Linked DNA regions of Drosophila melanogaster. The protein of the gene in region 1 purifies or fractionates together with the protein of each later gene. This does not show direct contact. Each region holds a gene or a part of one and is shown on either strand. Other genes may lie near its edges.

Region 1 (5,966 bases):
TGATAACAGCTTTAGAATAATCTCTGCAGGATCAGAGGTCACTGCAATTCTTAAGGTAATTGCAATTCTTAAGGTAATTGCTGTAGAGCTTCGTGAAACTACGAGGACCGACGCAGAATCAATGATGTCTATGGCACTTGAGATGTGGAGAAGGGAGGGCAGCACAAAAATGATAAAAAATGTTTGTATTTTATAGTTTTAAACTTTGCATAACCCTTAAACAACTCAAGAGACCTGTTTTATTATGGACTTTTGTCTATGTTTGCTTCCTGGCTAGAACATATTGGCTGGTAGACCAGTAACCAACAAAATACTACTGGTTCGCAGCCAATTTTGTAGTTTTTGTTTTCCTTTTAGTGTGCAACAAGGAAAAAACAAACAGTCTGTCTGAAAATTATGCTTGGGCTGCAGAATGAAAACGAGGAATTGTTTGCACACAAACACCGGAAACAAGGCTCCAATGTGTTAAGAGCTGATAAGCTGATAAGGATACATATATGATGACTTTGGCACGGTAGGCTTTCGTATTTTCTGTATCTTCAAGAGTGAAGTTCCTCAAATCTAAACGAATTTTCTAAATAGTAAGCAATTGTTCAGTTTAAAGCAAGAACTAAAGGTGTTTTTGCTCAAAAATAAAAAGAAGACATTCAATGAAGCTGAAAATATTTTAAAAAACTATTACCACCCGTCGTGGTTTATCTTACAGATATCCATATCAGAGGAAAAGTCTGAAACGCAATCAAAAGAAGTTTTGTCGGAAAAGCGAAAAGCTAGCAGCACAGATGACGAAGGGCATGTGAAAAAAGTAAAATTAGAGGCCAATAGTCTAAAAACGAAGCGTCCTGGATTCAGCGATGAAAGATACGACGAAACATCGTATTATTTTGAGAATGGTATGGCCAACATATTAATAAACCAACTTAGAAGATATTCTGTTATAAAATTGCAATCTATAGGTCTGCGGAAGGTGTATCCTTATTTTTTCACATTCACCACGTTCGCCAAAGGACGTTGGGTTGATGAGAAAATTCTGGATGTATTTGTCCGCGAATTTCGAGCCGCACCGCCGGAGGAATATGAACGCAGCCTGGAAGCGGGAAAATTGACTGTTAACTCTGAGAAAGTGCCCAAGGACTATAAAATCAAGCACAATGATCTGCTGGCCAATGTGGTGCATAGGTAAGCATCAGCAGGAAATCTCATTTGAATATGCACACATTTGCATTCTAGACACGAAGTCCCTGTTACTTCACAGCCCATCAAGATTGTGTACATGGACAAGGATATTGTGGTTGTGAATAAGCCGGCATCGATACCGGTAGGTATACTAATTTGGAAGGAATTTGATTTAATAACAATCGTATGTTGTAGGTACATCCTTGTGGAAGATATAGACACAACACGGTAGTTTTCATCCTGGCCAAGGAGCACAATCTGAAGAACCTGCGAACCATTCACAGATTGGATCGTCTCACATCTGGCCTACTTTTGTTTGGACGGACTGCTGAAAAAGCCCGCGAATTGGAGCTGCAAATCCGAACTCGCCAAGTGCAAAAGGAATACGTTTGCCGCGTTGAAGGACGCTTTCCAGAGTAAGTCCAAAATGCATCTAATCTTTTATATATCTGCTTATTTTTCATATCTTTCGTAGTGGCATAGTTGAATGCAATGAGAAAATCGACGTCGTGAGCTACAAAATAGGTGTTTGTAAGGTTTCACCGAAGGGCAAGGACTGTAAGACCACATTTAAAAGAATCGGCGAGGTGGGCAGTGATAGTATTGTTTTGTGCAAACCACTAACAGGACGAATGCACCAAATACGAGTGCATTTACAATTCTTGGGTAAGTGACAACCAGATAATTCCATTCAATTATAACACTCGTATTTCACAGGCTATCCCATTTCAAATGATCCTTTGTACAACCATGAAGTTTTCGGTCCATTGAAAGGAAGAGGAGGAGATATCGGTGGAATAACCGAGGAACAGTTGATCAGTAACCTAATTAGCATTCATAATGCAGAAAACTGGTTGGGCTTGGAAGGAGATCAAATCGTATCAGGGGAAATAAAAGACGTAGCAGCAAGTACTTCAGTAGTAGAGGCTCCCTCAGTAGTTCAGGCTCCTATTAATAGTGAAACTGAAAAGCCTGTGATTTCAAAAAACCTTGAACCAAGTAACGATGTAAGTAACTTAAAATAGTTGTACAAGTCTGGAGAACACAATGCTTATAGGCTACTGCACAGATTGCCACCCAAACGTGCTATGAGGAACCAGACAGGTCCTTTGATTCCAAGAAGACAACTTCGGATCCGCAATGTTCTGAATGCAAGATAAACTACAGAGACCCCGGCACAAAGGATCTCATAATGTACTTGCATGCATGGAAATACAAGGTCAGTTTCAAACTATACATTTTTAAAGATTTAATTTCAAATTAAATCTTATTTTCAGGGCGTTGGTTGGGAGTACGAAACCGAATTGCCGGAATGGGCGTGTAATTCGAATATTGATTACGATAAAGTATAAAGGAAAAATTGATTGCAAACACGACGCTTTAGTAAAAAGAAATATTTTTACAGAGTTTAACAAATTGTGTTTCCATTTTATCTTCATTTGTAGCATTGTTTTATTACTTTGCCGAATTACTTTATCATTTTGCGGTGCAAGGGGATGTCCTCGTGGAGTATTATTTATCGTCGTGCAGTGGATGTCCTAGGATGCCAACTATCCTGGATAATACTTTGCAAGAACTTCACCTGAACACTCTGCTCACAGTGGTTTCAGTTAACTGCAGTTCTGCGAATTTTTAAAATTTAAAACCACAATCAGTTGGCGGGAAGGGAATGCCCCTAATTCTATCGATTAGTTGGTTCTTATCGATAACGGACGGGGCAGGATATGTGTCATCTCTGTCGGACATCTGGCGCAAATGAAATACAAATACCGAATTAAAGCAGCAAAACAATGATACACGATTTGTTATTGGCTTGCCGGAGCCACAATCCGGAGCAGCTGGGTATAAAGGCATTCAATGTAAGTAAAATCGTTGGAAATAAATAATTTCGAAAGCCTTACAAGCGAACTTTCTAGGAAACCACAGTCATTGACCAGTTCATACATCCTTGCGAGCGGGAGATATTTATGGACATTATAAAAATCATTAAGGTTTACCAAGAAGTTGAGCAGTTTACCCATTCATCGGGAAGAAAGTCCGACACACATGGCGAACTTCCAGGTATAAATGGAAGGTTGCATAGTGTTTTTAAGATTTCAAATGTGTATTTCTATCGCAGATAGTTTGCATGGTTACTACTTGCTCAATTTGGCCAAGGGCATTGAAATGGCTCTGGAGGAGTACTACGCTGAGATCGGACGTCTGGAGAAGTATTGTTTGGGTAACGAGCGCAATTCGCTCTCATATGTCTACAATGCCCTGTACGCCAAGTTCCCCCTTCTGGTCTTCATGCGTAATCTCATCACAGAGATCCATGTGCTGAATCTGCGAGGATGCGTCTTGCTCCACAATCTACATCAGCAGTGCGAGCACGGCGATATTCAACTGGAAAAAGCAATCAAGATGCAAGTGATAGCCAACACACAACGCCTTGTTTCCATAATCCAAATGCTCTTCATTATGCAGAATTATGAAGCCTGTTAAGAACGCATTTTTCTCCAGCCTGGCTCACTGGCTGTTGTTTGGAGTGATTGACGATGTCCACTCGGAATTCTTTATTAAGTTTACCCCAACGGATGCAGTTGATGGTAGCTCATTCAGCAAATCAGCCACTTGCTCACTTCTGGTAACAACTTAACAAGCGATTATCCTTACCCTATATTATAAATAGCATATCTATATCCAGAGCGCAGAGAAAAACCCCGAGGATTACATATGGCAATATGAGGTGAATATGTCTCAGCTGCCAGGATTTTTCTCCATCGTTTTAGCCGAAAAAGTTCTGTTCGTGGGACAAACAGTGCTGGTCTTCAAAATGGGGCGCAACGTAAAAGTTAAAAACAAAACCGACCCACTGGCGGCAAAACTGGCTGAATTGGATTCAGATGATATCTATCAGCTGTGGAGCGGCAGGGAGTCCGAGTTCTTCAAAATGGTCGTTGATTTGAGCAACGAGGACACCATCAATGTGTTTCGCCTCGAGAAGGTTATTATCGATATCAAGAATTACGTTAGCGCCCGGCTGTCGGAGATCGCTGTGAACGAAGTGGATCTGGAGCGGCAAATGGGACTGATTAAGGACTTCTTTTTGCTAGGCAGAGGAGAGTTCTACTTGGAGTTCTGCTCCCAAATGGTCGGTACCATGGAAACTTATCGCGAAGAACGTTTTAAAAACGTCACTAGATCATTTGAGGTACTAATTACGCATAATGTTGTTAAATATGTATTTTAGATTTACATTTTTAACTCATACTCAGCTGGCAGCTACTGTCACGGGAATCACAGATGACTTGGACAAGTTTTCACTGATCTGCCAGAGAAGCACGTCTGAACCAGACGATACCTCCGACTTTAATTTTCTGCAAGGCCTCAGTCTAAAATATGAGTATGAGTGGCCATTGAATCTTTTGTTCTCCCCAACAACGATCGAGCGGTACAACAATATATTCCGATTTTTACTGATCATTCGAACATATCAATACGAAATACAAAGGGTCTGGGCCAAGCAGACTTGGAGGGCGAAGAGTGCAAAGGATGTGCCTCCAAATAACAAAATCATAACTCTTCGCAACTATCTAATGTTCTTTCTGAACAACATGCAGTATTACATTCAAGTTGATGTGCTGGAAAGTGAGTTTTTGAGCGCAATACGAAATTGATCGAAAATAACTCACATTTTGTTACAGGTCAATTTGGAATTTTGATGAATGTGATCAAGAGCAGGAGTGATTTCGAAGTTATACAAAGGGCTCACACTGTATTTCTGGCAAATGTTCTTTCGCATTGCTTCCTGCTTAACGAATCAGAGACCCAATTGAATGTCACCGGGAGCCAAAACCGAAATCCCATTTATGGAACCCTTCTTAAACTCTTTGGCATATGTGAGAAGTTTGCGCATATGACCCAAACGAAAGATCCGTCTGATGACTTAGAGGATGAAGTCGACCAACTTAATGAAAGGTATGTCTTTACATTTTGGATAAGTGGGTTATTATTGTATAATAATAAAACGTTGTTTTCTTATAGTTTTGGTGTTCAAATTGCGAGCCTTATCCAACTATTAGTCGATGTAAAATCAGCTTCTTGTTTGGGTCCGCTTTCGCAGCTGCTTTTGCGTTTGGATTTCAATTGTTGGTTCAGTGCCAGTCATAATACGTCCGCATGAATACGATGTTTTTGCCTAAAGTTGTAGCCGCTTAATGTCTTCTATACGAAAGTCATTTCTGAAAAACAAACAAACGATTAATAAACTGAAGAAAATGTTATATTTTAAATAAACTTTCTTACCTTAACGTTAAAAATGTGCGAACTTCGTTAGGTGTGAGATGCCAAGATGACATCTCTTTGTTATTCTCCGGATTCCAGTACTCCGATAGCTCCGTAATCTTGTCCAGATTGAGGAGCGTAGCTATTTGGGATATACGTGTCATCTTATCTCGAACCGACCACGATGTAGCTCCTGTTAGATAACTTCCCAAGGCACGAACTTCCTGATCAAGCACCAAACCGCCAAGCTTTTGAATAGAACATAATCCATTATTATTCTAATTCCACAAGGTAAATTTGACCTGCTGAGATACATACTCTATTAAAGCTGATTTTCTTAATAGCCCGTTCCAATTGAATAGTCACTTCGGTCGCCAAAATGCTAACGAGTGCATCATAGTTGCGCGGACTCAACGAGTTCTTAAAAGAGTTAAGTAGTCCATCCAATTGCACTATGAAGAACTGGACAAATGTCTCCCCAGCTTCGTAAGCAGCAAGTTCCTCCTGTAAAAACAGATTGCATT
Region 2 (4,785 bases), 8.7 Mb from region 1:
TATCTCTAGAAGTTATGACAGTCAAGGAAACCACTGGCTTAATTTAAAACACCGAATTTGTATAGTGTCTGTTGACGGCAGCCAACGTAGTGACGAAGCGCACTGGGAGGATGTGCGAAGGCGACACGAAGTTGTCGGCAGATCATAAGATCAAACCATTCTCAAATTGCAAACGACTTTGCTCGCATTTGAATCTCCATTTTTTCCCCACGAAAATATAAATTTCGAGATCGGACTCGTCTCCAAATCAAGCAGGTTTCACCTTGAGTACGCTAAAGCACGGCGTCGAAATATAGAATTCATCTTTGACACAATCTATTAACATTTATAAAATTCGTTTATTGGGACATGTTGGGTATCTACGAGTGTTTCAGGTACAATATGGTTGAACGTGTTTCGGCACCTGGCACATCCCCACTTCAGCAACAGCCTCTTGGTCCGCAGGGCATAAATGAGCACTGGATGTAGGCTGGGGTGCAGGGTACACAGCAGAGTTCCACGCAGCAGTTGTAGCATCCGCCGCACGGATCGCAGCAGCGAGGTCCACAGGGTCCGCAGCACATGATCTTCCAAGTGAAAGGAAAGCTAAGAATTAATCATATAAATTGTTTTCACTTACGATTTTATTTTGTCTTGGGGAAAAGCGTTCAGGGTATCCTAATTTCCTTCTAAAAGGGCAGCTAAGTGGACTTTAAACCAAATTAGATTGTTCTCTATGCAATGTGAACTAAACACTTACATTTGGCCTATTTACAGAAATAGGATCTTAGAAACAACAAAATAGGTACCGGAAAACGTAAGACACAAACTATTTTCAAAGGTGTTAACACATCGAATTTTGGAATACGAATGGAAAATTCATTTCGCTCAGTCTGTTACGGGGAAATGTGAAGTGACATGAAAAATCAAAGCCAATATGACTATAAAAATGTACACATATCAAGATACATGTGGATGTGGAATTAGTGATTGTGTTGACCAACTTTAAACTAACTAACGAATAAGTAAATTTTAGTTATTGTATATCCTTAGTTGAATAAAAAACCCTTTTTTTCACACAAAAGTTGATATCAGAACTTTTGTGTGTTGAGGTGTGATCGTTACTACTTCCTACCTCGTTCAGAGTTATTTTTGCTTGATTTATGTAAGTTGAATCATTCCTGGAAACTTTTATAATTCCTAAATTGATTATAAAGTATTTTAAATACATATATTATTGTTGATAAAAAAAATAAAAAGTATTGACGGTTGAATTATAAATAATTATCGATTAACCGGCTTTCGAAGCTTCGACAGCAGGACTCCACTGGGGATAATCGATCTGGGTGGCTGCCTCATATTCCTGCACCAAGCAGTCAACCGTGTCCCGTGCGATGTCCAGTTCGGTCAGGTCGTCCTGGAACATGGATTCGCGGCGAAAGTTGTCGAGGAAGGCGTTGCGCTTCCTCAGCTTATCGTACTGGGCCAAGGCCCTCTTGAAGAGCGAACTGATACCCGTGTGATTGGCCATCATCAATCCGGATACCTTGTGGGCCGACTGCACATAGGGCGAGCTGCGCGGCAGAGCCACTTGGATGCTGGCCGGACCCCATGGTATGAAGTTGGCCAGCTTTCGCTCGCGGATGCGCTGCAGCGACTTGTGCACCTGGGATGGATCCACCTCGCCCTGGATGATGTTCAGTATGGAGACGAAGCACTGGCGGCTCTGCTTGTCCGTCAGCGCGGAAACCATCATGTTCTTCGGCTGCAGAAGGCGACGCATTACATCCAAAACGGTGGTCTTTCGAACGCTTGTCTTGGTCTGAAAGTGGTTGCCTCTTTTTATTTGCATTCCCATTTACATATGTCATATCATCATACCTCGCAGTCGGACATTAGCGGAGTATATCCCGTCATCAGGAAGTGCAGCTGGGGCGTGGGAATGAGCGAGGCGGTCAGACCGATGAGGTTGTTGTTCATGTACGAGGGATATCGCAGGGTGGTGGTGCTCAGACTCATGATGGTGGACACCAGATTGTTGATCTGCGTAAAAGTGGGCGTTTGGATGTGCAATCTTTCGGTGGCGATGCGGTTCAGTGCGGTATTATCCAGCACCACCACACTGTCCGCGCACTTGGTCAAACGCTTCAGGGTAAGGATCGAGTTATATGGCTGCACAACCACGTCGCTGATCTCGTCCTGATTGGGAAAAACGCTGTACGTCTGTATGAGCTTCTTGGGAAAGCGTTCGGACAGCCGTTCCAGGACATATGAGCCCATTCCGGACCCAGTTCCGCCGGCTATCGAGTGGCAGAGCACGAATCCCTCCAGCGAATCGCTGCCATCGGCCTCGCGGTCCAGAATGTCGAACACCTCCTCCTGCACCTTCTCACCCTGGCTAAAGCCGGACGCCCAGTTGTTTCCTGCTCCACCGCCGTGCTTGGAGAGGAACACATTCTCCTGGTTGTACAACTGCAAAGGGGAAACACATATCCATCTACATAGTTTTTTAAATGAAATACATAAAATAAAGTAGATTAGATCAGAATCCGATCCAATAAGACCAGTTTCCGCACTGACCTTGGAGTACGGAGAGGTCATGATGTTGTTAATGACTCTGGGCTCTAAGTCTATGAGAACGGCCCGCGGTATGTAATGGTTGTCGTCCGCCTGGTAAAAGAACACATCCTTGCGATCCTGTCCATCGGTGGCGAAGTCTTCCAGGACGCCATCCGGGGAGATGCCGTGCTCCAGGCACAATCTCTTCCAGAACTCGAAACCAACTGCGGAATGGAGTGATCTCGATCAAGCCGGAGCTTCTCTTAACTTCGATTTCGACGTGAAGAACTTACTTTGATTGCCACATTGGCCCAATTGAAGGGTTATAATCTCGCTGGGCATTTTGCTCGAATTGCAGTTTAGTTAATTTCGCTTCTTTCTCAGTAAATAATAACTGTGCATCGAAGGCCAACTGGAGATGGAAGTGGAAGTCATTAATATCGATATACAAGAAGTACAATACAACAGTAAGTTATTACCTATTTTTCTTTACTAATCTTTATGATTTATTTAATGTTATTGGACTTATAGAAAATACTTAGAATTAAGATTTGATCCATTTTTTTTTTAAATATTTAGGTTCAAATAAATTAGCCATAGTTATATATTTTTTATGTTTTCATTTACATAAAACATTAACTGTTATTTTTTTAAATTTAAAGGACTAGCTTTTTCAATTGTACAGCACACCCTGTGGCTGCGAGTAACGGTTCTCGGGAGTCGTTATTTTCTGAGAAGCGCGCAACGTGCACACTGGCAGGCTGATTGAAAAAATTCGTTGCAAATGTTTATGTACAAATATTGAATAAAAAATAAAAATGCTGCGGCAGGAGAACTTGGCAGCCAACTTCTGCGGTCTCCTGGCCAGCCAGGGCTATAAAGGTGAGTTCGTATTTCGCCAATTTACTCCGAGCCTCATGGATGTCCGTAAAAATCGCAGAGAAGGCAAACGAGTGGCGCATTTTGGGCCAGGAACAGGATGGATCTCTGCTCACGTCCTGGATATTCGAGTACGCGGACGAGGATCAGCGCAAGGAGACGTGCATTGGCCACTTTCACGCCACCAAGAAGCAGCTGCGACTCCTTTGGACCCTCGACAATTGCCGTGAGATCGTCCAGGCAACGATTAACAGCAGTGTCACATTGCTGTCCTTCGTGGAGAAAACTGAGGGCAAGCTCTATCAGGCCTTTGTCGTGGAGGTAAGGAGCTCCGAAGGTGGCACGGCCACGCCCCTCAACTCGGAGCCCTCCAACCGCCAGATGATGACGCAGTTCCTGTGGCGCGTCGAGAGTGCCACGCGCACCTGCTGGCAGGACAAGCTACTGGTGCTCACCCACGAGGAATGTAGGTGTCATGTATATGTCATTATCCACCTCTAACTCCCATGCTCGTACCTGTTTTTTCTAGCCATCAAGCAGTACAGCTGCGTGGTCAAGCAGAGCTCCACCACATGCTCGACTGGCGGAGGCGAGGGCAGCGCCTGGAGGCTAGACACCAGCATACTGACCTACGAAACGCTGGCCAGGAACTTTAGCTGGGCCCAGTGGGATCCCGAGTGCCAGGCTCTTTATTACATTCACTTGAAGCCGAAGGCCAAGAGCCTCAGTCTGCTGGACGAGAGGGAGGAGGCTGGCGAGCAGACAACTCCTACTTTAAGCCCCACGCTCTCCGCCTTTCAGTTTAACGAAAAACAGCCAACGGAAACAGTGGTAGGTACTTAAAGATTAAAGTATTACGTATAGGTGTAGTTACATCTTTCTATTGCAGCTTAATATACCCCTCAATTTGCCAAAGCTGCCCAATGGCTCCAAAGAGGAATCGCCAAGCTACGATGACGATGCGGTTCCCTTGCGCGTGCACGATAGTTCGCTAAATCTCATCATACTGGCGGACACCTCGGGCATGTTTTTCGTCTGTCACTACTACCTGTACCAGCCGATGCAGTCGGAGCAAAGGGATGTGCACTTTGCCTACTCGGTGACTTTGCTTCACCACGGCTATGTGGTGCACTGCGTCATGCCCGGTGTGCCGTGGCAAAAGGCCCGTCTGCTGAGGCCAACATTTGCGCTACACGGCCAGCATCACTTGCTGGTGTCGTCCGCCTTTTTTGTCCACCTCTTGGACGTGGGACTGCAGCACGAACCGAACTGCCATATCGTGTGTGCAGCCCACAATCGAAGTCCCGATATCACACAGCTGGTGCCTTTGCGAAAGTGGGGAGCTCTGGCTTATGATGCGGCCACCTT
Region 3 (5,007 bases), 7.5 Mb from region 1:
AAGTCCAGCATCAATTTTGGGGGCATTCAATTTCTTACTGGAATGATCCAAGTTGTCTGCATGGACAAGAACTCCCGCCAATGGCTGGAGCATGCGATTTCCAAGATCACGGCGTTACCGGAAACTAAACTAATTTGTTGTCCGGAGGATGATATTCCGGCCACAAAGGGAATCACAGTCAGAGTACCACGTTCAGCTGATGAGCCCGATAAGGTCACGTTTCAACTTTTAAAAGACCAGAATAGCGACCTTCTGTCGAAGACTTGGGAATTTGGCCGTATAAGCCAGACCAAGGATGGCAAGGTGGTAGTAATAAGCTGTGGCAGTAAGTCTTACAACCTGGTGCAGAAGAAGGGCTTTTGCCTTAGCTACCGTTTTAACCAGCTCAATTGCCGCGAGATAAGTGGCAAGGAGGCCCTCAAGGCGGTTCGCAGCTCAGAGGCTAGGTCCACCGCCGAGTTATCTGAAATTGACCTAACCGAAGAGGACGGCGAAGAGTTCATTTCTCATCTTGATCTGACCGTTGTGGACGAAGTGAAGGGAGATGATGATGATGAAAATGAGAATGAGATGACTGAAGATCATGATGAGGTGGAAGAGGCAGCTGAAGAGCAACACGATGATGTGGAGTTCATTGAAGAGGAGCCGGGCGAGAAGAGCAATGATGTAGAGGTCACTCCTGAAGCGGAGGGCGAGGAGTGCGAAGAGCCTCATCAGGAGGAAGAGAATTGCAACGCTGAGGTGGTTAATGAAGACACATGCTCCTTGTAAGCAAGCCGATGGGTAACGGGATTCATGGTAACGAAAAACTTCCTTGATTTATAAAATGTGCTTTATATATCTAACTCTTTTCTTCTTCAATACAATAGGAACATTTTAAACTGAATAACACACCCTAAACATATTTGACATACGAAATGACATGACAACGGAACAAGGACAGCAGTATCGTGCAGCTTCACAAGTGAATTCTCACTGCAATATCAGTTCATACTGCCTCAAGTCGACATTAACCATAAGGATTTCATATTATAAAATACACCAAAGAAATATGTAATATACTTCTCAATAAACACTCACTACCACATTTAAAAACTGTTTTTTATTTAATGTGTCACATATTAAACATGATCGGGAAATCTCATGTGTAATTTTGCAACAATGGAAATACGAACGTTAAATATCGTAAAAGACGAAACAGCGTTTACATACATGCGAGTCATACCAACAATCGTCTTATCACTACTACTTAAGGATTTCGAATCCCATCGTCATTGGAGAATATTACATTTTAAAATACATTGGTTAAGATGCATGGCACGCATTTCTTCTGGCACAAGCGAACTAGGAACCGGCGCTGGTCACAGATCGACTATCCTCCGACTTGGAGTCAACTGGCCCATTTCCCCGCTTCACTGAAAACTGCATGTAGTCCTCACGCGTGGCTGCCTCATACTCTTGCACCAGGCAGTCAACAGTTTCGCGAGATTCGTCCAGCTCATTGAGGTCGTCCTTGAAGATGTCCTCGCGTCGAAACTGGTCAAGAAAGGCGCCGCGCTTGCGAAGCTTGTCATACTGGTTGAGAGCTCGCTCGAAAAGCGAGCAAATGCTGGTGTGGTTGGCCAGCATCAGTCCGGACACTCGATGGTTGCTCTGCACGTAGGGCGATGAGCGGGAAAGGGCTACCTGGATAGAGGTGGGGCCCCAGGGAATGAACTGGGCCATCTTGCGGTCGCGGATGCGCTGCAGTGACTTGTGCACTTGAGTGGGATCCACCTCGCCCTGGATAATGTTTAGAATGGAGATGTAGCAGTGATGATTTGACTTGTCGGGACCAGTGGACACCATCATGTTCTTGGGCTGCAACAGACGCCGCATTACATCTAGAACAGTAGTCTTTCGCACATTAACCAGCTGCTGGGTATGGATATCCGAATCGCTAGTCAGCGGCGTGTAGCCTGTCATGAGAAAATGCAGCTGGGGCGTCGGGATTAAAGGAGCCGTCAGCCCAATGAGATTGTTGTTCATGTAGGATGGATACCTCAGCGTAGTGGTGCTGACGCTCATTATGGTGGAGACCAGGTTGTTGATCTGCGAAAAGCTGGGATTCTGAATGTGCAAGCGATCGCAGGCAATACGATTAAGAGCAGTGTTGTCCAGGACAACCACACTGTCCGCAGCCGTAGTCAAACGTTTCAGGGTGAGCATGGAGTTGTATGGCTGCACCACTACATCACTGATCTCGTCCTGATTGGGAAACACACTGAATGTTTGGATAAGTTTCTTGGGATAGCGGTCCGCCAGGCGCTCCATGATAAAGGAGCCCATTCCCGATCCCGTTCCGCCAGCAATCGAATGGCAAAGTATAAAGCCCTCCAACGAATCGCTTCCATCTGCCTCACGGTCAATGATGTCGAATACCTCTTCTTGCAGCTTTTCGCCCTGGCTATAGCCTGAGGCCCAGTTGTTGCCCGCACCGCCTCCGTGCTTGGATAGGTACACATTTTCCGGATTGTAGAGCTACGGGAGTTAATAGTAGGTTTGGCGCAAAAAATTAAAAGTTATTTAGAGAGGACTCACCTTGGAGTAGACCGAGCCCATTATGGTATTGATCACCCTCGGTTCCAAGTCCAAGAGCACCGCGCGGGGTATGTAGTGGTCGTCGTCCGCCTGGTAGAAGAACACATCCTTGCGGTCCAAGCCATCATTGGCAAAGTCCTCCAGCACGCCGCTAGGGGAGATGCCATGCTCCAGGCACAATCTTTTCCAGAACTCAAAGCCAACTGCGTTTAAACGATTTTAGCAATGCAGATGGTACTCGTCCTGATTTCAGAAACCTACTTTGATTGCCGCACTGCCCAAGCTGCAAAGTAATTATTTCACTTGGCATTGTGGTGTGTTGTTTCCGGCCAGAATCGTCAAGTGAAGTTTCGCGTTTAAGGTCGAATTAGTCGAAATAAAATAAAACACAACTAAAAGATCGTCGAATTATAACAAAATTTTTAAAAAATCCCACAGCGGGGACGTACTTTGTAATTTTAAGAAAGTCCAGTGTTGATAACACCGCAGCGTTTAATGGCGTCCTCATTTGAAAGGTGGCGCAGTGTGCCCTCTGTTATAAAATATATATGATTACTTAAGACCTTTATTGTGAATTAAATAAATAAAAATAAACATTACATTTTTCTACTTTGTATTTTGGAAAGGCAAAAAAGTGTTGGAAATCTAAGACTATGAGTTAGAAAGATCGAAACATGTCATGAATATCAATCTAATAGTTCAATACTAAGCTTAACTTGAATATAATTTTCTATAAGAAAGTTTTTCAATTAGGTTATTGAGCTCCACCCATTTTGTACTACTAATGACGTCGAACTATTTGTACTACTAGTGACGTCACAATGTGCAATATTTGCTCCACAGTCGTGTTTTTCCAAGGAAGGCACACAAATAGTGTTGTAAGCAGACCAAAGTCAAGCCGACCGGCTTGCAAAAATCGCGTTGCCCGCGCAGTTTTCTTTTTGTTGATATCGGGTGCTGAACCAAGCGACAGTGGCTCTGCAAAACAAGCAAAAGAAAAAGCTGGAAATCTGTGGAAGTAAATACAAGTCATTTTTGAGAACCTATCAGTCCGAGCAGTAGAACTCCATAATGCCGCGTGTCAAGGCCGTGAAAAAACAAGCAGAGGCGTTGGCATCTGAACCCACTGACCCCACTCCAAATGCCAATGGGAATGGAGTCGACGAAAACGCAGACTCTGCCGCTGAGGAACTCAAGGTGCCGGCAAAAGGAAAGCCGCGCGCGAGGAAAGCCACCAAGACGGCTGTATCTGCGGAAAACTCCGAGGAAGTCGAGCCACAAAAGGCGCCCACTGCAGCCGCGCGTGGCAAGAAGAAGCAGCCGAAGGATACAGACGAAAACGGCCAGATGGAGGTGGTGGCCAAGCCGAAGGGACGCGCCAAGAAGGCAACTGCAGAAGCAGAACCAGAACCCAAAGTCGATCTACCAGCTGGAAAGGCAACTAAGCCACGTGCCAAAAAAGAGCCCACTCCTGCTCCTGACGAAGTGACGTCTTCACCGCCTAAGGGACGCGCTAAGGCTGAGAAACCAACGAATGCCCAGGCCAAAGGACGGAAGCGAAAGGAGCTGCCGGCAGAAGCAAATGGAGGGGCCGAGGAAGCAGCAGAGCCGCCGAAACAACGGGCAAGAAAGGAAGCAGTACCAACGTTAAAGGAGCAAGCTGAACCAGGGACAATAAGCAAAGAGAAGGTGCAGAAAGCTGAGACAGCTGCCAAGCGGGCACGCGGAACCAAGCGTTTGGCAGATTCTGAGATCGCAGCTGCTCTCGATGAGCCGGAAGTGGATGAGGTGCCGCCAAAGGCTGCTAGCAAGCGAGCAAAGAAGGGAAAGATGGTTGAGCCATCGCCCGAGACTGTAGGAGATTTTCAATCAGTACAAGAAGAAGTGGAATCGCCTCCAAAAACTGCAGCTGCACCCAAGAAACGCGCCAAGAAAACAACCAATGGTGAGACTGCGGTAGAACTTGAGCCAAAGACCAAGGCAAAGCCCACTAAACAGCGCGCTAAGAAGGAAGGCAAGGAGCCAGCACCCGGGAAGAAGCAGAAGAAATCCGCCGATAAGGAAAACGGTGTAGTTGAAGAAGAAGCCAAGCCCTCTACTGAAACCAAGCCAGGTGGGAAACTGTCAAATCAATGTAAATGATGAAACCATGATTAACTATCTTTAATCCGCAGCTAAAGGACGGAAAAAGGCTCCAGTCAAGGCAGAGGATGTCGAAGATATTGAGGAGGCAGCAGAGGAAAGTAAACCAGGTGGGCACATTGTCAACAATAACTTTAATATCAATGCCACGCTAATCATATTCTATTTGCAGCTCGAGGCCGAAAAAAGGCGGCTGCGAAGGCTGAAGAACCCGATGTCGATGAGGAGAGTGGATCGAAAAGTATGTTAGCGGAGCAATCCGGCTGCGGTGGAGCTGCCGTATTA

Evidence for each region.
Region 2: the proteins of Grip75 (region 1) and gammaTub37C purify together in Drosophila melanogaster (affinity purification with western blotting; 4 studies listed by BioGRID, with this or other methods). This does not show direct contact.
Region 3: the proteins of Grip75 (region 1) and gammaTub23C purify together in Drosophila melanogaster (affinity purification with western blotting; 2 studies listed by BioGRID, with this or other methods). This does not show direct contact.

What each region holds. Positions count from the first base shown.
Region 1 is NT_033779.5:10,480,392-10,486,357, forward strand, and holds Grip75 (Grip75), read left to right. Parts: upstream 1-2,903; 5' UTR 2,904-2,966; coding exon 2,967-3,035; intron 3,036-3,092; coding exon 3,093-3,237; intron 3,238-3,295; coding exon 3,296-3,581; intron 3,582-3,642; coding exon 3,643-3,802; intron 3,803-3,862; coding exon 3,863-4,369; intron 4,370-4,433; coding exon 4,434-4,806; intron 4,807-4,862; coding exon 4,863-5,136; intron 5,137-5,146; exon of another isoform or gene 5,147-5,202; coding exon 5,203-5,341; 3' UTR 5,342-5,356; coding exon of another isoform or gene 5,357-5,399; 3' UTR 5,400-5,463; downstream 5,464-5,966. Other genes in the region: RluA-2 (RluA pseudouridine synthase 2), read left to right, coding at 707-893, 957-1,179, 1,231-1,318, 1,372-1,592, 1,652-1,842, 1,894-2,183, 2,234-2,395, 2,454-2,528; Cog4 (component of oligomeric golgi complex 4), read right to left, coding at 5,357-5,399, 5,464-5,690, 5,761-5,946. UniProt on the Drosophila melanogaster protein: Gamma-tubulin complex is necessary for microtubule nucleation at the centrosome.
Region 2 is NT_033779.5:19,182,773-19,187,557, forward strand, and holds gammaTub37C (gamma-Tubulin at 37C), read right to left. Parts: upstream 2,955-4,785; 5' UTR 2,881-2,954; coding exon 2,832-2,880; intron 2,763-2,831; coding exon 2,560-2,762; intron 2,452-2,559; coding exon 1,861-2,451; intron 1,802-1,860; coding exon 1,271-1,801; 3' UTR 1,091-1,270; downstream 1-1,090. Other genes in the region: CG46059 (uncharacterized protein), read right to left, coding at 420-563; pigeon, read left to right, coding at 3,357-3,420, 3,479-3,883, 3,947-4,248, 4,307-4,785. UniProt on the Drosophila melanogaster protein: Tubulin is the major constituent of microtubules. The gamma chain is found at microtubule organizing centers (MTOC) such as the spindle poles or the centrosome, suggesting that it is involved in the minus-end nucleation of microtubule assembly.
Region 3 is NT_033779.5:2,970,942-2,975,948, reverse strand, and holds gammaTub23C (gamma-Tubulin at 23C), read right to left. Parts: upstream 3,059-5,007; 5' UTR 2,891-3,058; coding exon 2,842-2,890; intron 2,784-2,841; coding exon 2,581-2,783; intron 2,521-2,580; coding exon 1,345-2,520; 3' UTR 1,091-1,344; downstream 1-1,090. Other genes in the region: CG9641 (uncharacterized protein), read left to right, coding at 1-771; Rrp1 (recombination repair protein 1), read left to right, coding at 3,652-4,693, 4,755-4,832, 4,895-5,007. UniProt on the Drosophila melanogaster protein: Tubulin is the major constituent of microtubules. The gamma chain is found at microtubule organizing centers (MTOC) such as the spindle poles or the centrosome, suggesting that it is involved in the minus-end nucleation of microtubule assembly.